Rhinolophus ferrumequinum: one gene and its partners. The protein of the gene in region 1 binds, or shares a complex with, the protein of each later gene. Links are inferred from orthologs where the notes say so. Each region holds a gene or a part of one and is shown in the gene's direction. Other genes may lie near its edges.

The links.
Region 2: the proteins of WDR48 (region 1) and USP12 are in contact, whole or in part, in a crystal structure (PDB 5K1C), measured with the Homo sapiens proteins. The link is inferred for Rhinolophus ferrumequinum from reciprocal best matches to the Homo sapiens genes WDR48 and USP12. Residues at the interface, in NP_065890.1 of Homo sapiens: Arg50, Trp77, Asp118, Tyr119, Lys121, Leu137, Ser170, Tyr172, Thr188, Asp211, Asn212, Lys214, Ser230, Gly254, Trp256, Arg272, Ile363, Ile364, Leu424, Lys425; in NP_872294.2 of Homo sapiens: Arg185, Leu187, Thr188, Cys189, Glu190, Thr191, Ser227, Lys230, Cys236, Arg237, Ser238, Lys239, Gln240, Glu241, His243.
Region 3: the proteins of WDR48 (region 1) and USP46 are in contact, whole or in part, in a crystal structure (PDB 6JLQ), measured with the Homo sapiens proteins. The link is inferred for Rhinolophus ferrumequinum from reciprocal best matches to the Homo sapiens genes WDR48 and USP46. Residues at the interface, in NP_065890.1 of Homo sapiens: Arg50, Trp77, Asp118, Tyr119, Lys121, Leu137, Arg139, Ser170, Tyr172, Thr188, Asp211, Asn212, Lys214, Ser230, Gly254, Trp256, Arg272, Ile364, Leu424, Lys425, Gly521; in NP_073743.2 of Homo sapiens: Arg181, Leu183, Asn184, Cys185, Glu186, Thr187, Cys222, Ser223, Glu224, Lys226, Cys232, Cys233, Ser234, Lys235, Gln236, Glu237, Gln239.
Region 4: the proteins of WDR48 (region 1) and WDR20 are in contact, whole or in part, in a crystal structure (PDB 5K1C), measured with the Homo sapiens proteins. The link is inferred for Rhinolophus ferrumequinum from reciprocal best matches to the Homo sapiens genes WDR48 and WDR20. Residues at the interface, in NP_065890.1 of Homo sapiens: Val191, Lys207, Gly208, Gly240, Gln241, Gln242, Arg243, Cys244, Ile245; in NP_653175.2 of Homo sapiens: Arg20, Ser364, Thr384, Glu385, Asp386, Glu524, Pro525, Leu526.

Annotation. Positions count from the first base shown.
Region 1 is NC_046300.1:13,617,883-13,625,173, reverse strand, and holds the start of WDR48 (WD repeat-containing protein 48), read left to right. Parts: upstream 1-4,280; 5' UTR 4,281-4,302; coding exon 4,303-4,350; intron 4,351-7,291. UniProt on the Homo sapiens protein: Regulator of deubiquitinating complexes, which acts as a strong activator of USP1, USP12 and USP46. Enhances the USP1-mediated deubiquitination of FANCD2; USP1 being almost inactive by itself.
Region 2 is NC_046287.1:99,322,125-99,329,455, reverse strand, and holds the start of USP12 (ubiquitin carboxyl-terminal hydrolase 12), read left to right. Parts: upstream 1-4,330; 5' UTR 4,331-4,588; coding exon 4,589-4,636; intron 4,637-7,331. UniProt on the Homo sapiens protein: Deubiquitinating enzyme that plays various roles in the regulation of the immune response and inflammation.
Region 3 is NC_046288.1:15,426,442-15,434,192, reverse strand, and holds the start of USP46 (ubiquitin carboxyl-terminal hydrolase 46), read left to right. Parts: upstream 1-4,750; 5' UTR 4,751-4,921; coding exon 4,922-4,957; intron 4,958-7,751. UniProt on the Homo sapiens protein: Deubiquitinating enzyme that plays a role in behavior, possibly by regulating GABA action. May act by mediating the deubiquitination of GAD1/GAD67.
Region 4 is NC_046289.1:2,665,728-2,673,489, reverse strand, and holds the start of WDR20 (WD repeat-containing protein 20), read left to right. Parts: upstream 1-4,756; 5' UTR 4,757-4,864; coding exon 4,865-5,113; intron 5,114-7,762. UniProt on the Homo sapiens protein: Regulator of deubiquitinating complexes. Activates deubiquitinating activity of complexes containing USP12. Anchors at the base of the ubiquitin-contacting loop of USP12 and remotely modulates the catalytic center of the enzyme.

The DNA of each region.
Region 1 (7,291 bases):
GAGTTGTCACTTAAAATACTGCAACTATCCTTCAAACAATCAAAGATGTATTCACTCTGTCACCCTCCAAGGGAGTCAACCCAGTGTTTCATCAATTACCCCATTCATCCATCCACTTCTAAGTCCAAAACGTCTAGTTGATATCCATTTCTCTGCAACTTACGGACTAAATAATGAAATTTACAAGGAATAGCACACCCTACAGACAATAGTGAAATAAAGGGTTAAAAAAAGTTAAAACCCATAAAAGTATACATGATACATCAATAAAAGAAATACCAATAAAGATGACAGCTCTCATTTCTTCCCCTGATCATGAGGACTTCACTTTCATTTATGATTTCCTTTCTCCACCAGCCACTCTGTGTTCCTTTATCTTCAACCAATACCTTCGTTTCTAAGGGATCTGAGTGTTTGATGGACCTGTCTGCTTATACCAGCAAACCTATTTCTGCTTGATACTCAGGGTTAATCACTTCCACCAATACCATGTCCTTCTTCTCTTGCCTATCCAGTGACATAAGACAGGCAACATAGTTAGATAGCAGTTTCATCTCCAAATCAATGGAAATGTTCAGGCTTTGTTGGAAGAATTCCTTTCTTTGGTAACAAACCTCTAAACCAGCAAAGCCCAGAATTTCAAAGAATAGCAGTTAAAAACATTTTAAGTTGGAGTCATTAGGTATATTCCTTTGTTCCTAAATCCATTCATTTTGCCTATGGAAGTGTGGTAGTTTTAAAAACATATCCACAAATTCTTTGACACTTTTCCCATTTAAGAAAATGGAATCTCCTTAGATATAACCAGCCTTAGCGATTAAGCCTTAATGAACTAAATGTGGTTTAAAGTGACACTGCAGGATTTCCACTGCTACTTTAGAAAAAGCATTAATTACAGTTTCCACCCGAATTTCTCTCCGTGGGGAGGCTCGCCCTTGGAACCCATGCACTACTGTGTAAATAACCAAACAGCACAGTGGAAAACCCATGAGTAGATGTTCTGGCCATAAATTCAGCATCGGTCACCAGACATACGAAGGAGTGGGCCTTTAGATGGTCCCAGCCCCCCAATTTTAGCTGCCCCAACTGAATCAAGTGGAAAGTGGAACATAGACAAGCTGTCCCCTAATTGGTGAGCCCTGCACCAATTAGATTTGTAAGCAAAGTAGATGTTGTAGTTGTTTTAAACCGGTAAGTTTTGCGTGGTGATGCAGCAATAGATAAGCACAGGGAGAAAGCGTGCCAAACACTGGACACTGGTTCAAAGCATATACTGCATCCTGTAAGACAGCATCAAAAAGGGTTATCTCCCAGAAGGCACCATAACTAAGTCTTCAATTAAGACCAGGTGCTTCTTGGTGATAGAATACACAATTAGACCAATGAATTCTACAAGCAATAGCCCACAGAGTTGCTTTCATTACAGAGTGAGTTTGTTGATCAGAAGCAATATGGTGTGAAACACAGTAACAGTATATGACACATCCCCTAAGTCCCCGATGGTGGTGCTGACAGAAGCACAGCAAGCGGGGAAAGGAAATCTAAGTCTAGAGTAAGTGTATTTCAGAGGCCAAATAACTACCCCCTCCACGATCGGGAAGGGCCAATGGAATCGACTTGCCTCCAAGTGGTTGGCTGATCCTCCCGGAGCTTGGGGTATATCACCAACTCAGGACTGGCCACTGTTGCTGGCAAGCTGAACACTCAGCAGTGGCTTGGTGATGCCACGCATAGCTCCAATCCTGCTATTATTGCCATTTCATTCATGATTGCACTGAGCCTGGATAAGGAGGCTGAGTTTCATCTAAGAGCAGTTCATGTCATCTGTTCAATAAATTCTTAATTCTTAAGATGTATTCTGCAAGGTCGAGGATATCCCTTCCTGAGTCTTTCCTGTCACTAGTCCTCCAATCTTTCTCTTTCCATGTCCTGAACCAACTGGCCAAACAATTAGGCTTGGACCATTAATTATTACCCAAGGCCATCTCTCCTTCAGGTAAAGTGAACTTCAAGACATACTGCTAGATATTCTGCCCACTGAAAAGACCACAACTTCAATGCTCTTCAGGTGCAAAGTGGGACCACAACAACCTAAGCATCCATTTCTGGCAGGTACCAGCATATTGTGCAGGGCAACATGCCTGCCTGGTGCCTGGTACATCATGGGTGTGCAATGGATATGTGTTGAATTATTGTTTCTAATGCAGATCAAATGCTTCTCCTGCTTAAATCCTTTCAACAGGTTCCCATTGATCTAAAAGACCCAGCTGTGTGTGGTCTCTGCATACTCCTTCCCCTTCTCTGTACTCTAGGCTTGGTCCTCAATTCCTGGAATGTTCCAAGCTCCCTCCTGCCACAAATCTTTGCTCAGACTGTTCCTTTTCATTGTCTAGTTAACTCCATCCTCAGATCTTTTCTTTTTTTTTTTTAAAGATTTTATTGGGGAAGGGGAACAGGACTTTATTGGGGAACAGTGTGTTTTTCCCAGGACCCATCAGCTCCAAGTCAAGTTGTCCTTTCTTAGTTGTGGAGGGCGCAGCTCAGCTCCAAGTCCAGTTGCGGTTGTTCAATCTTAGTTGCAGGGGGCGCAGCCCACCACCATCCCTTGCAGGAGTGGAACCGGCAACCTTGAGGTTGAGAGGACGCGCTCCAACCAACTGAGCCATCCAGCTGCCTGGGAGCTCCGTGGCAGCTCAGCGGCAGCTCGTTGTTGTCTTCATTCTAGTTGCGGAGGGCACAGCTTGTTGGCCCATGTGGGAATCGAACTGGCAACCCTGATGCCCAGAGCTCACGCTCTAACCAACTGAGCCACCCGTCTGCCCCGATTCTCAGATTTTGACTCAAGAATCGTTTCCTATCTTATAAATGTCTTTCTTCACTGTATTTATCTCCATATTCATTTATATGCATAATCAAGTTATGTCTTACCCTGGAACTCTAAGTTCTATGGTTATATACAGTCACTACTGATCCCCAGCACCTAATATAGTACCTAGTACTTAACAAGTGCTAAATAATATTTGTCAAATAAATTAATACACGAAAAATGAATGTATCTGTAATAAAATGCAGTATGGGTCATTTATCTACAAGTTATCACCGCCAGTTTTGCTTAAGAAGCTTTATGCCTCCAGTTTCTACGACTCTTAATTCATATTTCTTTATTAATTTAGAAAGGCATTTGTCTAGACAAGAACTTTCCTAAGCATTATTTCTTTATTAGCACTATGCAAAAAAAGTGACTATATATGTAACTTTAAATATACTAAGAGCCACATTATAAAACACAAAAATATAATTTTAATATTTTAACCTAATATAGCCAAAACATTATTTCAAGATGTAATCAAGCTGAAAATTATTCAGGTATTTTACATTCTTTTCTTTGTACTAAGTCTTTGAAATTAGGTGGTCATTTTAGTTTCATCACATCTCAATTTGAACTAGCATATATGTCAAGTGCTCAAGAGCCACACATGAAACAGTGCAGTTCTATAGGGTTCCCTTTCACAAGGGAGTCTGACAAAAAAAAAAAAACAAAAAAAAAAAAAACAAAAAACAAAAAAAAACAAGGGAGTCTGACTATCCTCAGCACCAATAATTAGTGTCAGGAAAACTTCAAGTCAAACCTTCACCCAGAAGGGCTAATTGCCCTAGTATAAGATTCTAGAGTGAGCACAACTCCTTCAGGATCTGCAACTTAGAAAGTTGTCTCTGAGAACAATTTTAACCAGTGTTAAAGGATGTTGCCTTCCTAACGTCCTTTTATTTCTTATTTAAATACATACTTTGATGCTCCTTGAAGATGGGGGCCGCCTCCTTTCCAAACACTTCTATTTCTCCGAGACCAGTTTATAATTTTCTGCATTTTGGGATATGTCATGGAAAACCTGTCAGTTCCCTTGGCTGCCTAGGGAAGTTGGGGGTGTGGGAAATCCGTGCCAGCCGCCCGTGTCCAGCATTATTAAATCTTTCAGCGCTTCCCTTAAGCCTGCTTGGGCCTCTGGAATTGGCATCCCAGACAGAGAACAGTGCAAGCCAGGGTTGAGGGGCACACAGAGTTGGATTCGGATTGCTCCCTCGGCTCAAAACTGGCTCTGCCAGCATTACACGCACGCAACCATTTTTCGGTGCTCCTCCCTCACCCCAGGGCCACCGGCCATAGCCACACACTGCAGTCGGGCAGCCCCCGACCAGCACGCCCTCCGCCTACCCACCTGCCCTTGGCCTAAGAGGAAGAGGCGGGACATCCGCCCGGACCTAGCTGCTTCCAGAAGTGACGTCGGAGTGTCAACATGCAAGATGGCGGCCCATCACCGGCAGAACACGGCGGGGCGGAGGAAAGTGCAGGTATGGGAGCCCGGCTCCTCGCCCTCGCGGACGTGGCTGGCAGCTCCGGGCCCACCTCCAGCGAGCAGACGGCGCGGGCCGCGGTGGGCCGGGGTGGCGGCTGGGGGCGAGTGGGACGGGGCGCGGCCGGCGGCGAGGGGTGGGGCCGCGGCGCTAACGGCTGGACGAAGGGGCCGGGGGCTCCGGGCTGGGCCCGCAGCGGGCCCCGCGAGTGCTCGCTTCGGAGCTTGCGGCTGCCGGTCGCCCGCTTTCTCGTGGGCTTGGGCCGGCGGGGAGAGGATTGGCTCGTTCCCCGCCCACCTGCCTTCCCCTGCCCTGCCCTTCCCTCCCCTCCCCCGGAGCGCTCAGCCCCAGCCGCGTCGGAGCGGAGGCCTCCGAGCGCGTTCCCCGTGGGCAGGCGGCGAAGGAGACCGTGGGCCTGTGCGGGGGCGTGGCGGGCGGCGGAGTGCGGACCGCCCTGCGGGTTTTCTGCGGGGATTCTGCATAAAAAACGTCCCCTGCCTTTTTTTTTATGCGGGCGCTTTCCCCGTGGTGTGGTGGAAACGACGTGACAGTGTGCCAGCGTTAGTGGGGAGAATATCATTTTTGTTTCGGAATTTCATTTCGCCTTCCCCATTTCTTCATCTTCGATGTGCATCCATGATTCTTCTTTCCTATTTCTGTAGTTTATTATCCAAGGGTAAAAGGTTATCTAACCCTTCCGTGGGTGCTTTATGCCTTCGTGAATCCGCTTTTGTTTTGGGTACTTTTAAGAGTACCTATTATTTTAAGCGATGCAAAGAGTGAGTAGAAGCCCTGTATTACAGGTGTTTGCCTGCAGGTATATGGTACTACGTACCTTATACCTTATTTAGTAAACATTACTAAGCACTTCGTTTGGTCCCAAAAATGTGCAAAGAATTGACAGTATAGGAATAAGTAGCCACCAGGCTTTCTTTATAAAAACAGCATTATATGGGGTCTGACAATTAAGTTCACAAATTTGTTGCAAAGATGTTGCTAACCTTTTTTGGTGTCAAAAGGATTATTCATTATGAATTTGTACCAACTGGACAAACAGTTAACCGAGGTTACTATTTGGAAGTGCTGACAAGGCTTGCGTGTAAAAGACGGCTTGAACTTTTTGCCAATAATTCATGGCTTTTGCATCATGTCAACGCATCCACCAGCTCACACTGCACTATCTGTGAGGGAGTTTTTAGCCAGTAAACAAATAACTGTACTGCACCGTCCTCCCTATTCACCTGATCTGGCCCCCAATGACTTCTTTCTTTACCCGAAGATAAAGGAAATATTGAAAGGAAGACATTTTGATGACATTCAGGAACTCAAGGGTAATACGATGACAGCTCTGATGGCCATTCCAGAAAAAGAGTTTCAAAATTGCTCTGAAGGGTGGACTAGGCACTTGGCATTGGTGCATAGCTTCCCAGGGGGAGTACTTCAAAGGTAACCATAGTTCAGCAGTGAGCTGAACTTTCTCTAGGATGCCCTTTTTCTAGGATGAGTTCGCGAACTTAATTGTCAGACGTCATATATATGTAGTTCTACAAGTTGAAATCTGAGTGTTTAATACCATGTTTTCCCGAAAATGAGACCTAGCCGGACAATCAGCTCTAATGTGTCTTTTGGAGCAAAAATTAATATAAGACCAGATCTTATGTAATAATATAGTATAACATATGATACCGGGTGTTATATTAATTTTTGCTCCAAAAGACGCTTTAGAGCTGATTGTCCAGCGAGGTGTTATTTTTGGGGAAACAGGGTAGGACAAAGGCTTTCTTCAGTAAGATACCACAGCAAATTGCTATAAGCCGTAGTCTTCTGGGCAGTTCACTTCTTTGTTTTATTGATTTCTTTGGTAAGTACAGTGTCCTGAGCATTCAGTAGATGCTTGCTGAATTGAGTGAAATTAATAAAAATCTACAATACCTTACCCTGTTAGGTGACTTTTAAGTGCATCAGTGACAGGATTTAAGTAACCCCAGCATGCAGGCCAGGTAGTGAGAATGTCTGCTCCTGACTAAAGTGTAACTCAAAATTGTAATTTAATTGTATTCTAGATACCAGAGCGATACACTTCTTAGGGTAGTAAGGAGAGTTAATTACAAGAAAGTTAATCAGTTTCTTGTATTTAGACTTAAAAGAATATAAAAGTATAGGACAGGGAAAATGTAAGTTAACTGCAGTGTGTGTGGAAAAACTGAGTGTTTTAATAAGCTGAATGTGAGCCATGGCATGTAGAATGAGGGAGATGATAATTCCACGATTCACTGGTCAGAGCACAAAACTAGAGTTTGAGGTTAACACTTATCACTTTGTCCTAATAAAGTATAGCAGTCGATTGCCAAAGTCGCTTGAAGCCACTTCCTATGAAGAACATTCAGAAGAACTAAGACTAGCCTGCAGAAGAGAAGGTTCGGTAACTCTTTTTAGCTGCTTTCAGAATTTGTCCCCAGGGTCTAGAAACCAATGTGAGAAGCCACAGAGATTGATTTTATCTCAACATGAGGGAGAACTTTTGTTGATGGAAGTGTTTTTTAAACTAGTGCATGTTCATTGCAAACAAGCCACAAATAACGCCCATCAATAGACAATTGGATACAGAGGATGTGGCACGTGGCATGTACCGGGGTGCCAAAAAAATGTATACACATGACTTGTATTCATCTTTTATAATCAGTATATATTGAGTATTACAATTTTAATACAGTATTTTCCTTTCTTAAAATGTGTATACTTTTTTTGGCACCTTCTGTATATATAATGGAATATTACTCAGCCATAAAAAAGAATGAAATCTGCCCATCTGCAATAACATGGATGGACCCAGAGGGTATTATGCTAAGTGAAATAAGTCAGAGAAAGACAAATACCATATGATCTCACTTATATGTGGAATCTAAAGAATAGAGTGAACGAACAAACAAAACAGAAA
Region 2 (7,331 bases), on another chromosome or scaffold:
ATGTCTACAAACCCCCTGCAACACACCCCATGTCACAGCCTGAGGCACATCCCACACTCTTTCAAGGTCCCTGCACACAACTTGTCCTCTGCTTGGAAGACCACTGCCTACCCGCCCCAACCCCCACACACTGTTCATCCCATTCTTCCTGATTCGAAGTTGACCTCAGTTTATCCCTCCTGTAGACTGAGCTAATCCCACCCCCCTGGGAGCTGACAGCACTTGGTTCATTTTCTCAGCTCCTTTTCCATAAAAATTATCTGTTCACCACAATGGGCTGTGCGCTTCTTGAGGGTGAAAATTTCTCTTATTCATCAGAAGATGATCAACACGTATTTGTTTTAATGAATGAATTCACATTTCAGTTTTAAATAGAGTTTAACAGGGCTGTGTCTTCGGCCCTTTTCTTTTAAGCCTAGATTTCAGTAATGACAGTTTTGGGGTATATCCGCTATATGCCATCCTGCCCAGCAAATCAGTCACATATCCATTATGCAGATGACTCAGCTTTGCTCATCTGATTAGAAGTCAGCTTTGAAAAGTAAGTGGCTGGTTTGTTGATTCAAACAACAAAAGAACATCACTGTTTTGATTAACATCTACCTTTGGACAGCTGGATGATGTTCATGTATGTCACCTAGAAAGCTGATTCATTCAACTGTGAATGGGGAGGGTAGAGCAGGGGAGAGATCCGGCATTTTCAAGTCAGAGTGTCTGGGAGTGGACCCCCGTTCTGCCCTGGCTGGGCTGCACCGTGGTGACTGTGCTAAAAGGAGCAGGAAGTGATTGAGCTCAAGGGCGTTGGAGGGGTTACATTAGAAAATGCATCTTAAGTACTAATTAGGTGCCTGGCATATAGCAGAGCCTCATTACGTCTGAGGGAGTAATCTGGCAGCCTGAGGGGCTGTATTTGCCCCCCTTGACTTTTAAAATGTTGACTCTGAATGGCCATTCAGAGCTCTCCAGTTTGTGCTGCGGGCCAGGCCCTATTCTAAACATGCTCCATGCTTTATCCTCGGAGGTGGCCATAATCGTTACTCTTATTTTCTAGATGAGGAAAGCGAGACAAAGAAATATCTATTTGAGTATATTTTGTAGCTAAAACCTTCACACCAGTCCCAAAGGAGTCAGTGTCTCTCACGCTTATTCTACTAGCATCACATGAGCTGGCGTAGCAGAGCTGATACAAGTGTGGCCTCTGGAGCCAGGTTCAGTTCTCCCACGAGTTGTGTCATCTTGTGCAGGAGAAGAAAACTTTTCCCTTCTTCCCTTCTAGGTTCTTTGGCTGGTCTAATAAATTGACATAAGCCAGATTAACAGGAGGAAAAACAATTTAATTTGTACGTAGAGGAGCTCATAGAAATATGAGACTCAAAGAAGTGACCAAAGCAGGCAGTTTATACACCTTTTTTAGACAAAGAAAAATACGTGTGAAGAATTGACAAAACAAACGGGTTTGGGCTTGGGGTAGCTGTTGAGTGGAGAAGTACCAAGTTTTGTTTATGTAGCATTCTGGCCTTGAGTTCCCATGTCTGGTGATAAGGGTGTCTCTCTACGTCCTGGTACCGGGAGACCTTGCACATGGGAGATGTATCTCCTGCTTTCAAGGACTCAGGGGGCTCAGGGTATCTTTCTTGGACTGGCTGCAAGTAACTTTAATTCAAAATAATCAATATGCCAAAGTGGTATATTTGGGGATGGCATATTGTGCTCCCACTCACTTGGGAAAGGTATCTCTGTGCCTTAGTTTCCTTATCTAGAAAATGGGGATGACGATAATAACAGCATCTACTTCCCTGTGTTGTTATGAAGATTTGATAAAATGCTAGGTGTAAAGATAAGCACTGCCTGTCATTATGGGTGCCTTACACACTCTCTCTACCCTCTCCCACCACTTCCTTCCCCACTCCATCACAGGCAGCATGTCATGTATGTTAGCACCGTCAGGCAGAAGAGAGATGGCGAAATATATGAAGCGACATGTGGTTAGCGGGGAGACAGGATGAGTAACAGAAATATTTGGTGGTTTGCAAGGAACTGGACAGCAGAGGGTTGTGTAAAAGTATTCAAATGAAACAATTTTTAAAAATGTGCTGACCAAATGGATTAAGCTGGTCTCTAGTTTGTTTACTTGCTTGATCCCTGAGGTTATCTGGGTCTATTTTGTAGCTTACACTCTCAGGAAGGACCAAAAGAAATCGTTTGTATACAAGCTCATCTTTCTCTAGACACAATGAAGCTCTCTGTAAAACTTATATAGCTGCAGGTAAAACCTGTGTTCTAAGCCCAGATGACCGTCTCCAAGCTCTGGGTGCCAAAGTGTGGCGTTTCAGCCAAATCTTACCTTCAACTGCATTACATATGGTAATGTAATGGTGAAAACACCCAAGGAAAGCCCAGCACACAAAAGACTCTCTGTTTGTGCCTCTCCCATTAACCTTAGGCTGGAGAGACAAGGCACTGTGAGGTTCTGCAGTTAGGTGTTATGGTATCTCCTGCAAATATAGATGGCTGTAACATCAACTAAGCACCACTCCAGATAATTCTATCAGAAGCTTATGTATAAAGCTGGTGGCCTCTGTTCCTGTGACATTTTAGGATTCACGAACATGGAGGCATGGTAGTGGGCAGCGTAGAGGGAGGCGGGGGCTCAAATTCTGGCACTTTAGACCTGTTTGCTGGAACAAGTAGGGAGGACAATAGACATTTATCCAAATAGGCGAGACAGGGTCCCAGGGCATGGTGACACTGGGGGGAGGCCCAGGCAGGTCCTGGAGGCCTAAGCAGGATGGAACACAAGACAGACTTCCAAGTCTAGGCAGGAAACAGCCGCATACCTGAATGCCTGGAGTGACAAACAAGGTCCTCGTCACTGGCTTTGGGTATCAGGCAAAGAGGGAGTGCCCCAGCGTCCATGGAGGCAGGTGCCTGGAGAACCAGGCCAGCTACTATGGGATTGAGCTATGTTCTATTTGCATTTTCCCCCCAAGCAAGCTTATAATGGAAATCACTATGGAAACACTATTCATGCATCAGAAATCTATTTTTCACCTAGATTTTTGTTCGAATGTTTTGTTTTGTTCTTTGAATGCTTTTTTGAATGAGGTAAAGCATATCTGATTTTAGAAGTTTGTCTGAATTCAATTCTATCAGAAGCTCAGCCCCACTGAAATGGGGGAACCCAGAAAAGCACCCCATCACTGTATTTCACCAATCGAAAAATATCACAAGCTTTCTAATTTATAAAGTTATTCTATTAACTTGAACTACTTTCTCAAATAGGAAGAAATAAAGCTGAGTTGCTTGATACGAAGAAAAGGGTGCAATGATCAATTTTATGAAAGTAGAAAAGAGGAACTATACCACTAGCTAACGCTACTTAAATATTTCTCACCGGGCATTTTTCTCACTTGCTAGACTTCATGTCTCGGTAACATCATTATCACTGCTGGGTTGAGATCTTCCCTATTTTGCAACTCAATTTTCTGAATGAATATATTTAGAAACTATATTTATAAACATACTCTAAATTTATGGCCAACAGGCAGGCAAAGAGGCAGCTTTGCCCTCCACCCTCCACCCCCCCTCCCATTACTTACCTTTCTTCTTCATTCAAAGAGCTAAACATAGTTTCTTCTTTGCTTGCCTCTTTCATTTTCTATTTAGTCTTGCTAAGTTAGGGATTTTTGACCCATAAGTTAGGGGATTTTGACCCCGGTAATTCACCTACTATATATTAATATAAAAAGATACAAACCACTGGTAAGTGCTTGGGACGTTGGGTTTCCTGGGTTATTTTAACTGTGCAGAAGCAAGTTTCCTCCCATCCCACTCAGAATTACCAGATCACCGCCCCCGTTATTTGTTTCAGCAGTGCGGAATACCTGTCGGGTCGCCCTTGTTGGAGCCTGCGATCAGCCCCTTCCAGGATTTACACAGGTGGCCTCCGAGGCGACCCGCACCTCCCCGGGTAGCTCCTCCCAGCCAGGGTTAGGGCTGCCGCGCAGGCTCTAGGACCGCGACGCGGGCAGGAGGCGGTGCCTGGCCGAGAGCCGGGCGGGGCCGGCTCCAGAGTCCCCCGCAGGCGCACCTCAGGCGGGAGAGTCGTGCGCCGGGGGAGTGGGCGGGGCCGCGCGCAGGGCGGTCCTGGCGCGCGGAGTGGGCGGGGTTCCGCGTGGGGCGGTCCCCGTACGCGGCGGGTGGGGGGGGCGCGCCGCTGGGCAGCGCAGCTGCGGGGCAGACCGGGCATTAGGGCCTCAGCGGAGCCCGCTCCTCAGCGCGCTGGGCGGGGTGTGCGGCGGGTGGCTTCGCTGGCAGGCGCGGGCCCGGAGGCAGCGGCTGCGCCCTGCGCCGGGGAGGAGCCGGGGGCGGGCGGCCGGCAGGCGGGGGCTGGGGCCCGAGGCGGGGAGTGCCGGAGCGCCCGCGGCGACGACGGCAGCGGCGGCAGAGCAGGCTCCGTGCGTGGGTCCGCGGCGGCTCGGGGTCCGCCCGCGGGCCGTAGTGTGAGCGGGCGGCCGGGCTCCCTTCCTCCCCCGCCCGCTGCCGCCGCCGCCGCCACTGTGATTGGGTGGAAGATGGCGCTGGGCGGATGGAAATCCTAATGACAGTCTCCAAATTCGCCTCCATCTGTACCATGGTAGGTGCGGCGGGAGGGCAGCCGGGGCGACCCGGGATCCCTGGGGCGGGCGGGCGGTGCGGCCCTGGTCCCCGCCACTCACCCGGGTGGTCCGCGGAGCCGGGTCGTGAGGCGGCAGGCGGGCGGGGGCGGTTGGACTCCGGCGGGCAGGGGGCGCGGGTATTAGCGGCCCCCCGGGAGGGGGAGGCGGCGGGCGAGCCTGGGCGGCTCGAGGGTGACCAGCGAGGGGACACCGGTGCTGGACGTAGCGGGGAGCGGGCACTGGTCTCCAGCGCCCCGGCGCTCAACTGCTGAAGTCTTCCCGCGGCGCCGGGGCCGAGCGGCGGGGAGCGCCGGGCTGTGGGCGCGCGAGCTGGAGCGCGGTCCCGGCTGGGGTCGGAGGTGGAAGGACGCGGAGCGGCGCGCGCCGTTTCCGTCTGGCGGTGCGCGGAGCGGGGAGGTGGCCCTGGGCGCGGGTGGGGGTCCGCCGGCAGGAAGGCAGGGTCTCGTTCCTGCGGGAGAAAGGACGGAAGTCAAGTGCAGATTTCCTTCCCGCGGCGCGGGCGAGGCCGAGTCCCCCACCCGGTGCTCTGGAGAAGGGGGTGTGTATGAAGGTGGAAACTTTAAATAAGTGCTGTGGAAAATTTCCCCATTTCTACTCTGAGAGCGACGAGCTCTCCTTTTTCCAACCGTGTGTCCAGGTGGCAGTCTTGTCTTTGGGAATCCACGATAATATTGAAAACAGCTTAAGCTTTCCTGTCATTTGTTTACTTGATACACCGGGCACATCTGTGTGTGGCTCGAAGTAGTTCTGTGCAGGGACTGACTGCGAGCGTTATTGTGTGTGTTTTATCGGAGTTTTTAAATAGACTCTGACAGCGAAGTGCTAATGCCTGTGGAAAAGTCCCGAATGAAGCAAAACGTGGGTGCGTGTAAATCTCGGTGTTTTTGTGCTTAGGCAGAAGCACAATTTTCCACACGATGGGGCAAATTCGTTTCATTAGTTCTGTGAGGCTACATCTAGGGATCATAATTAGGAGCCGTTGCAGAAAAAGTTATTCTTTGCAACGTGGGCCTGGTGATCATGTTACTGAAGACTTCTGAAATCTTTCCTTCTGTCTATAGGAGGTCCCCAAACAGTCTTCCATTGAAGGGTGAGGCATTTTTATGTATCTTTTTTAAAGGAGTGGTGAGTCAGATCCAAAAGGTACTCTAGAAGCAGATTCTACACTGCTTTAGATGTTGATGAACAGTGTAAAAAATGGCCGAAATCAGGTGGGGTTAAAATCTGCAGGATTAAAGAAATCACATTGCATGAATCATTGGAGAATGCGTTTTCTGAAATAGATTTTTTTCCCTTCACAATTTATATTTTAGGAAGCACTGATATTAAAGGAACTGTATTGAAAGGATTTCTGAGGGTCATTTGGATTAATTATTTTTAGATATGCTGGTGATTATCTTACCATATTTCAAAAGGAATGTGATAATTAAGTCTTTGAAAGTGATAATCTTGCCAGATTGCTGAGCTACACGGATTGTCAGGTCATAGTTCATTGTCAAAGTCTAGTACTTCTGGAATGATGTGTTACTACTCTTTCCTAACCATTCATTCACACAGTATATCAGGTACACATTTGGCACCTACTTAGTGGTAGAGACTCAGTGCTGAGTGCTGGGGATGCAGCGGTGATCAAGACAGTCCCTGCTTTCATGGTGTTTACATTCTAGTTGAGGCGGACAGTATTCAAATGAACAGATTAATAACGCATGCTATAATCAGATTAGGAAACATGAGTAAGTGGGATTCTGATCTCAATGTCAGACTCCAAAGCTCTTTTTAGGGTTTCCGCTCTGGGGCATTGCATGTGGTGGGTGTGTATGGTTGGCGAATACAGAAACACCAACCAGTGCCTGGCCAAATGAGATTGTTCCAAAAGTAGTGTTAAAATTGCATCTATATTTATATTTGAATAAATTCTGATGTGTTTCTAAAGTAATGCAAATATCTGAAAGTAATCTGCAATGTTATTCTTTAAAGAAAACTGTAACCCACCTCCTGAGAATTACAAAATTGACAATCAAGAAAAGCAAAGATATTTGGCTCTCTGCCTTTGTAGATGCTATTTTGCTAGGCTTTGAACACTTCCCCCTTCCCCCTTTGTCAGTGAGTTCATACCTGACTGTCAGGCAGTTGACATTACTTGAATAATCCTTCCCCTGGCAATCCCTGTCCTGTCTTCCTTTTGTAATTTCACTGCTTTTTGTAATCTCAATAGCCTCGTATGTACTATGTTGTAAATTTTTCTCTCCTTTGCTTTTTGGATTGTGAAAGCCTCAAGGGGAAGGACTACCATTTATTTCTGCCCTTTGGTGGAGCACTAACTTCTGCATACAATAAAACAGTTTCCCCACTCCCTCTTTTCCTACCAGTAAGTGAGGACGAGATTGGGATGTGTGTGGAGTGGTGGAGGGGCTGCACCTAAAGATAGTTCTCAGAATCAGTAGCTGTGAAAACATTTATGATGAATTGAGATTTTATTCCGTAAATAATAAAGTTTATAAAGTTTTCATTAGGCAATGTAAGGTACCTGGGCAAAGTGGCACTACCAGGGTTGGGTAACTTTTTCTGTTAACAGCAAATCTTCAGATATGTGTTACTCTAGATCACTCTTGTTCTGCTACATGTGAATATTAGTAAAGTTTGTTTTTCCTA
Region 3 (7,751 bases), on another chromosome or scaffold:
GCTCCCCTTCCCCCCTGCTCCCCATTGCCATTCCCAGGCTACTGACAACTCTGGGATTCTCACCACAGATTTCTAACTGACCTCACCTAGAGTGCTTTTGCTTTCCTTCAAACCCTATTTCCCCATATGGTGGCCAGCTAGACTAATCTCTTCTTTCAGTTAATCAAAATGTATGAGCAAATAAAATCTAATCATGTTCCAACCGAGCTTAATAATCCTTCCACAGCATTTTAATTGGCACTCATAATAAGCCAATTGTTCCAAAGGCTCAGGGAATCTTAACAACCCATAAATACACTCATGATTTTAGATGCAGCTTCTCTGTTGTAGGAACTCTAAATTGATGCTCATACCAAAGTTAGCTTATCCTTATTTCATACTAATTGCAGGCAAAATGGAGCAAGGACATTCATAAACAATGCCAAGGAGCACCACCAATGAACTCGAGCAGTGCAAGTGCTGCGACTGCCTTCTTTTATCTTGGGATCACCAGTGCCACACAGAGCGTCTAGCACAAAGTATGTCTTTAGTAAGTATTTGTTCGATGCATGATGAAAAAGGAAAAAGGCTGTCACAAAGTTCCTCATAAAATTGAAATATAATCCACAGATACCAGTTTGGTTTCAAACTCAAGTCTACAGCCAGCAAAATGTTTTTCCCTCAAACAGCGAAATGTTTACTAGCATTTGCATATCAAGTGAGCTGCAATAACCTATATGACAATAAGGAAAAAAGGAAAGGAATGAATGTGCCAGTCTCAGTGCCTGAGACCAGAGGAGATTTTTAAAAATTCACATGACAAGGTTCTTTTCCTCCAGGAGCTTCCAGGCCACTTGGAAAGGCAATTGTTCAGATACTTAATATCTGAATTCTTGGCTCCTCCTATGGACAAGGCGCTGTGTCTTTCTTTAGATGTAAAATGAGTAAAACCAGGCCTGTCTCTTCATGTCTGATGAGGGTTGGGAAATAAACATTAACCAAATAGTCACATGCACAATAATTATAGCAGCTATCACTTATAGTGGTTCATATATGCCAGGTATATTTTTAGTATTTTACATAAACTTATGCAATCACACTCTGAGGGGTACTCTTATTGTCTTCATTTTGTAGATAAATTGTGGCTAGAGAGGTTAAAAAACCTTGCTCCAGGTGATACAGCTAGTTCAGGCAGCCTGGATCCAGGGTTCATTTTTCAACCACCCACTCTACTGCCTCCATGCTGTGTGCTACATGGCATAAACATATTTATAAATATAAGGTCTTTGAAGGAAAGATGGATGGTGCTATAAGAACATATAACAAGGGCATCTCATCTTGTCTCCAGTCATCGGAAGGCTGAGTGGCCTCCAGTCATCGGAAGGCTAAGCAAAGAGGGGAAGCAGGAGGGAGACAGACAGGAAACTGGTAACAATAGAAGGGAGAGTATGGAACCATCTGAATATGGGAGTTCTTTCGTGGTTGTGGTGTGGGAGAGCAATCTGGGATGGCCTCACGGAGGAGGCAAAACTATAGGAGGAAGACTTCCAAAGATCAGTTTAGTGAGTAGAGAAGAGAGGAAAAGAAAACATCATGAATTTGGAATGAGCCTAATGCATTTGGGGGGACAGGGAGACACTGGTTATTAGGATTCTTTCAGTTGTGTGTGACAGACACTCAATTTGAATGGGCCAAAGAAAACAAAGACTTTACTGACTTGAGTTGCTAGAGTCCAGGATATAGATCTAGCAGCTAGTGGATAAATGATGTGGTTAGGGTCTCTTTTCCATTCCTCAGCTTCATTTTTTTTCTACACTGGTTTCATTCTCAGGCAGTGGAAAGATGGCAGCTCTAGATTTTATCCTATCAGCTCAACAAACTCAGGAAGGGGAGTACCTCCTCTCCAAAAAACCCAGGGCTGATCCTCATTGGCTCAGTTTATATTACATTCTCCTTGCTGAAGCAATTACTGTGGCTGGGCAATCAGGCCACATTGGCCAGGCCTGGATCACGTGCCTTACTCTGGAGCCAGGAGGTGACTTAGCCACACCTGAACCTTAGGTTCTGGGAATGGGAGAGGAGTTCCCCAAAGTAGAATCTGGACCTGGGCAGGCAAAAACAGAGACCACCACCACCACAAGTGGTTGGCTGGAGCATTGCTCTTCACACTTCATATGCAGTCTCATTTAGTAGGTCTGGGATGCAATCTGAGAATCTGCACTTCTCACAGGCTCCCAGGTGACGCCAGTGCTGCTGCTTCACGGACCACACTTTGTGTAGCAAGAGGCATACTACCTGGAGTGACTGCCTCCCTCAGATTCATTCAAGCTGTTTAGTGCTAGCCTCCCATCCTTCCATTTGCCTACTTTTCCCAGTTCTATCTCTATACCTTCATACAAGCTAGTCCCTATACATGAAATGCTTTGCCTCAAAGTTCTTTCATTAGCTTGTCAACATTTTCATCATTTTACCTCTTATCATTTGCAAGTGTTTCCTTACTGAGTGAAGCCGAAGTTACAATTCTTCTTCAACTGATGCCTTTTTCAATTTAGACCTGTGAATACCAATCTAGTAGTGTAAACATGTATTTAATTATTCATGAGCCTGAGAAGATCTGCTGTGTTCAATTGATTTGTTGTGTATGTAATTCACTGCTTGAGTTTCAATCTGGATGTTTGTCTACATTGAACACTTCACTTTTAGGCTACACACTGTTAAAAGGCACGCAAAAGACTCTTTTAACTTGTTCATATAGCACTCAGTCATCAGATGATGTTCAATTTTCATTATGTCAGTGGGGTTTTCTGTCCCGTGGACTTTGCAATCCATTGTGTCAATGCCGGCAGAATGCTGAACTCTATGACGGTATAAAATTTCCATTATCATTTTAAGGCTTTGGATTAATGCCTTTATGGTGGAATGTCTGTGAAATTGAGTCCCGAGTCCTGAGTTTGGGCCCTGAAGGTTCTCCTGAACTTGTTTGGCCATTTTCCTTAAGTCTTTAAACCTTTCTAGGTCTGTTATCCAACTGGCCATAGTTTGGGTATTTTGCTCCCTTCTCCTCTCCCAGCCTGCTTAGCACACCAGCTACATTTGTAACATTTGGCAACAGGAGGCAGATTTGATCCTCTAGGTCTTATTTTACTGATCTGCAAAAGGCGATGAGGATAATAGCATCTATCACCTGATAGTCCTGACGGTAACTGAAGATCATGAATGTAAAGAACATCATGACTGACAATGGTAAGAACTCAAAGTTACTGATTATCATCATCAGGATTTGTTTGGAAATAAGATGTAGGTAGAATGACTTAACATATGCAGGAGTTTATTCCTTAAACCCATTGAAATATACACAGCTAACATGACCCCACAAAACTTGAGTCAGTAGTTATTTTGTTTTCACCCTAGTCCTAGGGATATTAGCAATCAATGGTTCTCAAATCTTCGTGTGTAACACTAAATAGATAATGGAGAATAGGATGTGGAATCTTTTCCCAGTATGGTACCCTTGGCTTGGTTAGATGAAAGCTGTCTTCAGTTATATTAATTTCTTCAAATGTCATTACATATATTGGTTTAAGAATTACCATGCGTTTCACTTGTACAACTTTTCGGTTGAAAGCACTGAATTGCAACCTTGTATGTAGAATTGTTTCACACATTTGGAAACGGGCTCCTTTCCACTTCGCATGAACGTATCTGCTAAGTGGTGTAGATTCGCTAGTTGAGCTAGGAGCCACGACCTTTTATGCAGGAAATGTGTCTGAGCCAGCAGAGCAGTCTTCTCAAAACCTAGAGGTTGAGTGCCCAGGAGAGAGGTAGTTTTTTCTTTAAGATGCGTTCAAGGTTGGTTCTTTCCGGATTCAAATCGCTCCTCGGACAGTCCCTACTCCTTGCCCAGAACCCGGACTTGTCCTTTGTACCTGTTAATGTCACAAACTGCCTGAGCGCGTCGCTCTGGCCTCCGCCCAAGACCCAGATTCTTCTCCCCTCGCGGCGCCCTTTACCAGGCAGCCGGCCCACGGCTGGCAAGGGCTTTCTCACACTCGCCTGTTCTGACCCCATTCTGGTCCTCGCCGGTGCCATCTGGCTGTAACCCCAGGGAGAAACTAAAAGTTGGCCTTAGTCACCCCTACCCTTTGCTTTCTCCACCCGCCAAAATATAAAGACCTGGGGCTGCTGCGAGACCGGAGGCAGGAAAGAAAAAGTGAAGCCAGAAAACTACCCCGTGTGGCACCGGCCCTCTCCGCGGCGTCCGTGCCTTGGGCCCGGGCTCCCGCCTCCCCAGCCTGCTGTCGGCCCGAGGCGCGGCCCCTTCCGCCAGGCGGTGCCCAACGCCCAGCGCTGTCCCTGGTTCCCGCCGGCGCCACGGGCCCGGAGGAGGCCGCCGCCGCCGCTGCCGCCGCGGCATCTGGGTCTGCCCCGGGGACCCGCGCGGTGAGGTTGCCGCAGCCGCGCAGGCGAGGGCCTGGGCCGGCATTTCAGTCCAAAGATAGTGAAGCAGAATATAAAAAGGAAAAGAAAAAGGCCGAGCCCGGTGGCCCGGGGCGCGGGCGGCTGGAAGAGGGCGTAGAGGCCCGGGGCCAGGTGCCGGGCCGGCGGGAGGCCGGGCGCACGGAGGCAGCGCGGGGCGCGGGCCGCACGCGGCGCGCTCAGGCGGCCCCTCCTCCTCGCGCCCGCGGCCGCGGCCCAGGCTCCCCCACTCCGCCACTCCCCGCCCTCCGCTCTCCCGCCCGCCCTCCCCGCCTTCCCCGCCCTCCCCGCCTCCGCCTCCTCCCTCCCAGCCTCCCTCTCCCAGCCAAACTGAAAGCCGGACCCCAGGCCGCCTCCCCGCCGCCTCCCCGCCGCCGCCCGGCCTCCCTGCGGGCGCTCCACCATGGACAGTCCTGTTTTCACCTTATAAAGATGGCGGTGCGGGATCGCTGCAACCTTTAGACTAATGACTGTCCGAAACATCGCCTCCATCTGTAATATGGTGAGTGGCCGCCGCCGCCGTTGCCGCCTCGGGGGTCGCGCCCGAGGCGCGGCGAGGCAAAGAAAGGGAAACCCGAGCCGCACACTCGCCTGGCGCCGGGGTGGGGGTGGGGGCGAGGGGCGGCAGGGTCTGCGCCGCGTCGCTCGAAGTTCCCCGCCCCGGGCTGGGCGCGCCGGCCGCAGCCCCTAGAGCCCCCGGGGGAGGGGCCCCGAGCCCCCCTGCCCCGCTCTCTGCACTGGGACCTGGGAACCCGCCCGCTGGTACCCGGCCGCGCCGGGTGCCTCCGCCCTCGGGTTGCGGTGGAAGCGCCTTAGGGGGAGGCCGAACCCGGACGTCCCGGTGGAAGGGCTTGCGGGATAAGCCGGGGGGTGGGGGGTACCCATCCTGTCCTTGCGGTAGATGAAGCCCTGCGGGTCTCTCTGACCGCCCTCTTCACATTTTGAGTTCACTCCTTAAACTGTATTTAAAATGCACTTTCCAAAGGCAATCGCTGTATCTGGAGAAATTTGAAATGTAATAAAGCTATAAAAAAAGTGCAAAATTGTGCTTAGGGAAGTGAATTTCACCTGGTTTGAGAAAGCACGGTAATAGGTCTTAGATGCCTCAGTTTCCCCACCAGTGAAAGAGGGACAAGGTTATATGGCAGTGACATTTGAAGGCCCTGAGAGTGGTGGGACAGGCTGTGGGAGTGGAGGAGGTCTCCGGGGTGATCCGGCCTGATGCGCTGTAGGCTCTGTGTAGGCTGGTGGGTGTAGACACAGCAAGGGAATATCACTGGGCTCTGATGGGGACTGGTTCCAGGGCGGGGTGGTGACTTTAACTTGGGGTTCTCTTACAGCTTTCCCTTGCTTTTCAGTTTCTGCAGGAACAGCTTCCAGCCCTTGAGTCCCCAGGGTGCACCCTGCTGGCACCCCCACTTGTCAGAGCCTTGGGGTGCACAGCTTGCCTCCTGGAGTAAGACATTGCCCTCCTGTGCAGGCTGAAAGAGTGTCTGCTTTGCCTTCCTTCTCCAGGGTCCCCTCGTCCCAGCAAAGCTCCCTTATCTCCAGCTGGAACACGTGTTCTTTTAATGCTAGTTTGGGGAAAACCTCCCTAGTAGCTAATAATACAGGCCCCTAAAGGGAATCTGAGGAGGCTTGATTAGGAAGCCTGGAGGTAAGGTGATCTGGCTGCCCTTCCCCCATCACAGAGCTTTTTAAATCTTCTGTCCCACATTTTGTTGTAAGATTAACACATGGCAGAGAAGCATTAAGGAGCCATGTGTTCGCTCAGGAGTGGAATTGAGACCCACTGGTGCTGGCTTCAGTTTTCAGCACTGTTGGCTGTGGTCACTGCCATGGCCAGCAGAACAAATGCTGGGGCTTCCCAGAGTGATAGCTGCCAAGGTATTGGCACAGGACCAGTTAGATGTGGTGGGTGGATCCTGGAGCATATCCATTTCCTCTCTTTCCCGTCCTTCTCTACGCAGTTGGGTCTCCTGCTCCGTCTTCCTGTGGAGATAATGTTGCCTGGTGCAGTGGAAAGGTGATGCCTTCTAGGTTTCCCTCTATGCTAGACTAGCTCCTGAGGGGCCTGTGAAACCAGAGCAGCTCTAACACTCTTCTTTCATGCCTGCTGGAGTGGCCTCAGGCTTACAGGGCAGTGAGGTGCAGTCCCAGCCCTGGGTGGTGTTCCCGTCCTAAGCTAGTGTGTGGTGACACCTCTCTCTACTGAAGCAGGCTGGAAACTTGAGAGTGAGTAGCGCGTCCCAAGAGGAAGCCAGCCTCCAGCTTTTAAAAATTTATTTATTTCTCTCTCTCTCTATCTATCTATCTATCTACCTACCTACCCTCGGTGCAACTGGGGCTTTTTGGCACATCTGGACAGAATGTCGCAACCTATTCCCAGTAAAACTCAGCCACGGAGACAAGTGGCAGGGAGGACGTGAGAGGAGTGCGCTAGTATTGTCTGGAAAGTTGATACCTCGTAGAATCTTTAAATAGGTACCAAATTTAGGCTCATCACCTAGGTGTGGTGAGGAACCAATAAATAATTCAAAAGTAAGATGTTTTATCTTCTGGTTTGGACATTGTGTCTTGAGCAAGTGATGAAGATTTGGGCTCTCAAGTTAGACTTTCTGGGTTCAAGTCCTGGTTTTAACACATACTAGCTCTTTGTCCTTGAACAAGTTGTTCTTTGTCTTATCTATAAAGACAGGGTGATGATGGTTCCTACCTCCTAGGACTGTTGTATTAAATGAGTTACAAGTACTTATTGAGTGTTAGCTGTTTCCAACATCATTATGTCACCTTCAGTTGTTCAAAGGACAATGGGGAGTATGCCTTCTTGGACTTGATGACAGCAGCCACTAATATAAACAACCCACATGGTCATTTATGCAAACCAAGCCGAGTGACTGTATACAAAGCCTGGGATGGGAATCCATAATCCCGCCCCTTATGAAAGGCTGCTCAGGTCACCCTCGCCCCTCCCAGTCTCACTTCCCACACAGGAAGGCTTGGGGATGAGACTGCTGTCTTTTCACCTGATCAGATGTAAATTTTCATTGGACCTGTCTTTAGAGTCTTCACTCGATGATGAATTGTTTTCAGGTAGGTGGTCTGTGGGTTCCTTCTCACTGTTTAGCTTCTTTCTGGGGCTCTTATTGATCCTTCCCACTCTTAACTCCATTTGGTCCCAGCTGGTTTGAGTAGTTGTTATAAGAGCAAGTGGTGATTGCATTTTTTTAAAGCAGGTCATTTGGCATATTTTAAACAGGCTGATGTATGTGTCCAGAAACGGTGTTAAACGATAT
Region 4 (7,762 bases), on another chromosome or scaffold:
CTGCAAATTTGAGGGAAAAAGGAGTGCTGTGTTTAGGACACTGTGCTATGGGATGTTTCCCAAGCTTGTTTTCAAGTTCCATGTGGTTTTATAAGGAAGTACCGAATCCTAACGTAATGATAGAACAAGCTCATGCAGTAAGATAAATCTGAGAGATTGGTTACTTCACACAGTGAGTCAGTAAACATTTCCAATATCCTAAAGATACCCATCGATGCCTATTTCTCTTTAGCAGGTCACTGTGGCAAACTCCTCAAAGTTTAAAAAACAAACATGCTTTTCATTATCTTACTGGATTAATCTCTGAATCTGAAAAATAATGACAAATTTGACCTAAAGTAAATACTCTTTATGTGTTAAGTTGCAAAATATTGGTATGCTCTTGTCCCCAATCTCCTGGATTGTGCCACTGTTCATACTCACTTCCTCAGTGATAGTATCCAGGCTTTAAACACTGTCTATCAGCTAATGCCTGCCAAACACACGTGGGCAGCTCAGACTTGAGTATTCTCTCCACACTTGATTATTGAACTGCCTCCTGGACATTTCTTCTAACTGCCTAATAGACATCTCACACCCATCATGTTCAAAACTGAACTCCTGGTCTTCCTTTCAAATCCTGCTCTGCTCCACTCTTTTCAGTTCAGTTAATGGAATGGCATTTCCATCCTCCAGTTGCTTATGCTCACTTTGCATTCATTTTTGACTCCTCCATTTCTCCCACCAGCCCTTTCTAACCTGCTGGGAAATCCTACTGGCTTTACCTTCAGAATATACCTAGGACTCTCTAACGTCTCTCAATCTCAACTGCTACCAGCCCTAGTTCAAGCTTCCACTGCCTTTGGCCTGGATTGCTACAGTTAGCCTCCAAAGTGGCCTTCCCTTCCACTTTTGCTTCCCTTAGTCTACTCTCAAACCAGCCAACAAATGGATTCGTAAACCCTGCAATGGCTTTCCTGCTCACTCTGCTCCAGCTACACTGACAGACTTGCTGTTCCTTGAACATGCTAGGTAGGCACACTCCTGCCCTGGGGTCTCTGCCATGGCTTTTCCTCTGCTTGGTCAGCTATTTCCCAGATCTGCCCACGGCCCACTCCCTCACCTCTTTCAAGTCTTTGCTGAAATGCCACCTTCTCAATGAGACTTACCTTGACTACCATATTTTAAATGGCAAACCACTCAACACACCCCCAAGCGATCCTCTTACTTTACTCCACTTTTCCTAGCACAATCGCTAGTCGGTTTATTTGTTTGTTTATCCTGTCTTCTTGCAATATAGACTCCATGATTGTGGGATTTTTGTTTGTTGATGCATCCCCCAGGCTAGAATTAGTGTGGCACATGGGGACACTCAAATAAATATTTGAGGATACAAATAATTTTAACGAGTTCCCTCACATCCTTGAATGTGCATATACTCCGGTAGAAAGGCAGCATATACAAACGAAAAGATAAGTATCAATACAAGATAATTAGCATATGCTGACAAATACCAAAAGATGGTAATGTTTTAGGCTATTACATAGGACAAATGAAAGCTCGGAGGAGTGCCACAGAAGTTCAGAGAGGTAATTTTTAAATTTGGCAGGAAGGTAGTCACACCTCTTTGAAAATCTGATGAAAGCTATAGACTCCCATGATCCAATGAACATGTACACACAATTTTGAATATAATTACAAGGAGTTCAAACCCGCCCTGAAGCCAGCCATGAACTGGGAATTGAGAATTCTTGACTTTAAACATGGTTTTATCACCCAGGGCTTGGGACAGGCTTGGTGAAGATAGAACTTAAACTAATTCTTGAGGAACAGGCTATGAAAAGGAAAATAAAGGAAAGAAGGTTCTTTTCAAGCAAAAGAAAGAGCTAAGGGTGACAGCAGAACAGTTTGACTGGAATGAGGGATTTATGCAATACTTAACAGGCCAAGAACTGCTTGGTGTATAACTTAAATACGTATATGAATTTTGCAAATCACTGAAAGTGTTTGGGCAAGAGAATATATGTCTAAAGTATTGTTTCAATAAAATTAATTTGGAAGTTGTTTATAGGAGCAAAGTTGAGAGAAAAAGTGAAATTAAGGAAATCATTCATAAAGCCATTTTATAATGATTCAAGTTTGAAGAAAAGGAAAGTGAACCGATAAGGTTTAGAGAATAATGAATTTGAGGCACAAATCCAATTAGAAATGCCTGGTTTGAAACTGAAAATCAGAAATGAACTTCAGATCGGGCCCAGTTATATAAATTCAGGTGTTATTTACTGAATCTTTGAGTGTGGTGGAAAAAAAATTACAAGAGAAAAAGTATTAAGAATACAGATTATTCGGGGGACGGCCTGTGGCTCAGGCGGTTGGAGCTCCGTGCTCCTAACTCCGAAGGCTGCCGGTTCGATTCCCACATGGGCCAGTGGACTCTCAACTACAAGGTTGCCAGTTCAACTCCCGCAAGGGATGGTGGGCTATGCCCCCTGCAACTAGCAATGGCAACTGGACCTGGAGCTGAGGTTCGATTCCCACATGGGCCAGTGGACTCTCAACTACAAGGTTGCCAGTTCAACTCCCGCAAGGGATGGTGGGCTATGCCCCCTGCAACTAGCAATGGCAACTGGACCTGGAGCTGAGGTTCGATTCCCACATGGGCCAGTGGACTCTCAACTACAAGGTTGCCAGTTCAACTCCCGCAAGGGATGGTGGGCTATGCCCCCTGCAACTAGCAATGGCAACTGGACCTGGAGCTGAGCTGCGCCCTCCACAACTAAGACTGAAAGGACAACAACTTGAAGCTGAACGGCACCCTCCACAACTAAGATTGAAAGGACAACAACTTGACTTGGAAAAAAGTCCTGGAAGTACACACTGTTCCCCAATAAAAGTCCTGTTCCCCTTCCCCAATAAAATTAAAAAAAAAATAAGAGGAGAGATCAAAAGATACATAGAAACAAATGCAAATGAAAATACATCCTACCATTAAAAAAAAAAATACAGATTATTCAAAGGCTTTGGATGAGACAAAGTGAACAGCCTATTATTGTAATCACAATAAAATATGTTGAATTTATATAGAATAGAACTTTAATAGGATGCTCGAGGTATACATGTATTATGGGTAATTGAAAATTGTGGTTGAGGGCTAATAAAATTTTTTGTTTTAATTTTTGCTTGCTATTTTTTCCTCCAAAAAGTATTATTATGCTTTTTTCTTCCTTGATAACTAGGGAACGCAGCTGAATTATTTTTAGATGATTCAGGATGTCACTATCCTATAAGGTGATCATCATAAATACTATTTTCAATGTAAAATCACTATAGAAAATTGGGATAAATCCTTGGTGACCACAGAAGACATCCAGGTATTTAAAGACTTCTGATTATCTATTTGACTTTTAGGTAAATGCAGATAGCATCAAAACAATACAAAATTTAAATATTTAGGGATCTATTGAGTGGGATTTGACTCTCGCTTTTTTGCCAACGTGCACAAAGGATACAGGATGTTAGTGTCAAGTGCATTATTACATCATTGGTAGAGTTTCCACTGGCATCTACCTGCTTTGTAATACATAAGATGTTTATGATCTGGACTCTTCTTACTTTAGAACTTACCTGCTCCAGTCTTTGTGACGCTCCAGCTATGATTTGAACTTAAAGAAATAGTTCATTTTTGGTGTAACAAATGTTGGAATGCCCGCCCCAAATTCTATCAGAATGTTTCTGTCACATTAGAACCTTCCTCATTCTAGTGCAACATGCCAAGAAAACCAGGTATAAAATGACACTTGTTTAATCTTCAACACGTACACCTGTCCTTATATATCTAGACAGAGTGCAGTATATGCATACAACTATGCCCAGTAAACAATTTCGCAGATTCCACTTGAGTCTTTTTTTTTTAAATCGATGATCTCTAATTTTATTAAGGGCTCTTAATAAAAGATTGAGCAAAAGAAGTGAATCCTGCTTAGAATTCCTGCTCTGGGTCCCAAAGCCATTCTCCTCCCCAACCCCTTTTCTCTAAACACCTGGTGAAGACAGACTTAAGAAACAAGTGCTCACAACCCACTTTCCTTAAAATTAGCCAATGCTCACTATAATAGGTATTCAGATATTTAACTGCAAACACATATTCTCTCTGTGTGTATATACTGTATTCCTCTCCCTCCACCCCGCCTAAAAGAAATGGTGAAGCGCAAAACTAAGGTCTTTCGGTACCTTTTCGGAAACTGACTTAGGGAGGTGCAGAGGGGATCCAGACGATTGTGCGGGGTGTCTGAAGGGAGGCCCCGGCGGGGGGGGAGGGGAGACGGGGAACCGGCCCTCGCAGCCTCCGGATGCTCCTGCACCCTCCCGAAGGGAGAACACCGGGGCTCCGCCCTCCGCTCTCGGTACCCCACGTGCTGACTCCCTAGGGGGCAGCTGCCGAGGCGGCTCTCTTTCTTTGCTCTTCTGGGTGCCGGGGCCCCTCAGAGCAGGGCCGCAGGCAGCTGAGGAGGCCACTCACTCCGAGTTCACCTCAGCGTTCCCGACCGCGGCTTCTACCTACCAACTCGGCCCTTGCCGGGCGGCGGACACAGCCACACGACTAGCCCGCCCCCGGGCGGAGCCTGGCCTCACCTGCACCGCGGCGGGGCCGCCCCAGGCCGCGCCCAGAGGAGGAGCCTGCGGACGCCCCGCAGCGTGGAGCGCGCCAGGTGAGCACGCCTGCGCAGTCAGGCCGTAAACAAGCCCGCCCCTTCCCCTCGGCCAGCCTCCGCTGGGCCGGCTCGCGAGTGGGAGGGGCCAGGAGGAAGAGCTGGAGGGAGAGGAAGGCGCCTGCGCGGTGGGCGTGATCCGGGCACTTGGGGCAGGATGAACGCTGCTTTCCAAGATGGCGACGGAGGGAGGAGGGAAGGAGATGAACGAGATTAAGACCCAATTCACCACCCGGGAAGGTCTGTACAAGCTGCTGCCGCACTCGGAGTACAGCCGGCCCAACCGGGTACCCTTCAACTCGCAGGGATCCAACCCTGTCCGCGTCTCCTTCGTAAACCTCAACGACCAGTCTGGCAACGGCGACCGCCTCTGCTTCAATGTGGGCCGGGAGCTCTACTTCTATATCTACAAGGGGGTCCGCAAGGTACCGACCCGGGCGTCACCGGGGCCACCCAGCGGCGTGGGCAGAGGCCGGGAGCAGGGCGGTGACAGCGGGGGCCAGGTTGACCGATAGGGGTGGCCGTCGCTCTTACTTCTGAGTGGGCCGGTAACTCCACTGGGGTGCCCCTGCGGAAGGGGGATTCGGGAGTGAGCCGGCTGGTGGCGGTGGCGTTTCGAAGGTATGGGGGCGGTAGAAAGGGACCGTGGGGTGCGGGGTTCGGTCTGGGAGGCCCCGGGAGGGGCCGTCTGCCTCTCCTCTGGCAGGGTCCGTCAGGCTCTGACACGGCCAGGGAGCGGGCCTGCGAGTCCCCGGAAGAGGTGGGGTGGCCGACTAGTCTACTTAGGTTGCCTCGCCTCCCGGGAGGGTTGGGAGTCTCGCTCTGGGTTAGAGAACAGGCGGCTTGGGAAGGTCTGTAAGGCGGAACCCGGGCTGGGAAGGAGAGGACTTGAGACTAGGTCAGAAAGGACCTGCTGGGCACGAAGGGCCACTCCACCTGCTGCCGCACTGACACTTCCTAGGAGCCTCTCCTGGTGTTGACACTCTATTTACAAAAACACCCGAGGGAGGACTGCTGTCACTGTCTCTGCCGAGGGAACCTTCTGAGAGGTTGTTAAAGAGGGTCATCTTGTCCCTTCTAGTATGGGAGGGCTGATTACTACAGTTGTGAGGTCGAAAGGATGTTGTCAATGAACTAAGGTGGTTCATAAGGGTTCGGTGTGAGCGTGCCCAGATCAGTCTTGTCCAACAAGTCAGACTATGTCCCAAACAGGGAGGGCTATGCCTTAAAAGCTACTTTACCAGAACCATTCTTGGCAGGCGACTTAACAGTAATTCTGTGAAGCATGTAATCATCCTTTAAAAATAATCTCTTTAAAAGAAGCAACTTATTAGAGCTTTTCTTTCATTGGCAACATAACTTTGTTCTCATTGAGAACTGTTTTTGAGATATGCGTTCTTTGACTTGACTCTTGGAAGAGAGGAAATTAAAATGTACTCCACAGCACCTAGGCATGGGAAAAGGTGATAACAGATTTAGAAATGTTCGGTTAGTGTAAAAATAAATTGTATATACTGAAGAGTGAACATTCTCTAAGTGTTAATAGCCAGAACAGGTTGCTTTTGCTTGGTTAAAAAAACTAGGGAATGACAGTGCTATCTAAATGACAGTGGTAGCAAGTTGTCTCATTTGTTCAAGGTGAATCTTTGTTGTTAGTGTTTGTGATAAGTGTACCATTCACTGTCTTTGAAGTATGCTGTTATAAGTTACTGAAAGCACACCGCTTGGCCTTACTTTTTCTCTTTTGGAACTAGGAAAGTGAAGTCATTAGACTAGGAGCTGAAGTTTTAGTCCTACTCCCAACTTTGTCACTGACTTGCTGGGTGACCTTGGACAAGTTATTTAACTTCTTTCTGGACCTTTTAAAAGGAGAAATGCTGCAGTACGCATGCTGTGATGTATAACATAAAGACTAATGAGCTTTAAAGCCCTGAAACAGTAGATGTAAAATATAGTTAAAATAAGCAGTAAGAGTAACTGTCAAGCGGGAAGCTTCTATCTTGACATTGGTACTAGGACCGAAAGGATCAGCTTTTTCTCTGGAAATAAGTTTGGAATTTTAAGTTAATAAATTTTATTTATATAAAGATACAAAAAGTGCTTAAAAACTAAATTTACTAGTAATTACTAGTGTAGGCATCACCATTTTTTAAAAAAGTTTTCTTTGAAAGTATATTATTTCTGGAGCATTCCAGTAGCAAACCTTATCTGGATCTGGCAGCCCTGGTTTGCATCATAAAAACAGGCCCCTTGCCTGAAAGTATCACAACAGTGTTCTCCTTTAGTGGGATGCTAACAGTGAAGGGTAAAACTTAGGGGAGCCTTTCAAAACCACCAAAAAATGATTTTGAACAAGACAAAAATCTTAAACATGCAAATTTGCGTTTAGTTGTGTAATGTAGTTGAGCACTTTAATTTTTTGGTGACATTTCATTTTCATGTGGTAATATCTTGTATTAAATACATTTGTATCTTGTAGATACACATGGTGGACGTTGCAACTCTCTTCTAGCCATTGTAATTAAAACATTTTTTTCCCTATGAACGAATTGGTTTATTAGTTTTGAGTACAGATGATTGTTTTTGTGACTCTGTTTTCTGATTTTAAAACAGAGCACATAATTTTCCTTAATCAGTAACCCAAACTGACTTTTTGGAGTTAGGCATTATACAGCAGATTTTTTTTTTTTTTTTTTTTTAAGATTTTATTGGGGAGGGGGCGCAGGACTTTATTGGGGAACAGTGTGTATTTCCAGGCCTGTTTTTCCAAGTCAAGTTGTTGTCCCTTCAGTCTTAGTTGTGGAGGGTGCCGTTCAGCTTCAAGTTGTTGTCCTTTCAGTCTTAGTTGTGGAGGGCGCAGCTCAGCTCCAGGTCCAGTTGCCGTTTTCTAGTTGCAGGGGGCATAGCCCACCATCCCTTGCGAGGAATTGAACCTGCGACCTTGTGGTTGAGAGGACGCACTCCAACCAACTGAGCCATCCGGGAGCTCAGCGGCAGCTCAGCTCAAGGTGCCATGTTCAATCTTAGTTGCAGGGGGCGGAGCCCACCATCCCTTGAGGGAGTCGAGGAATCGA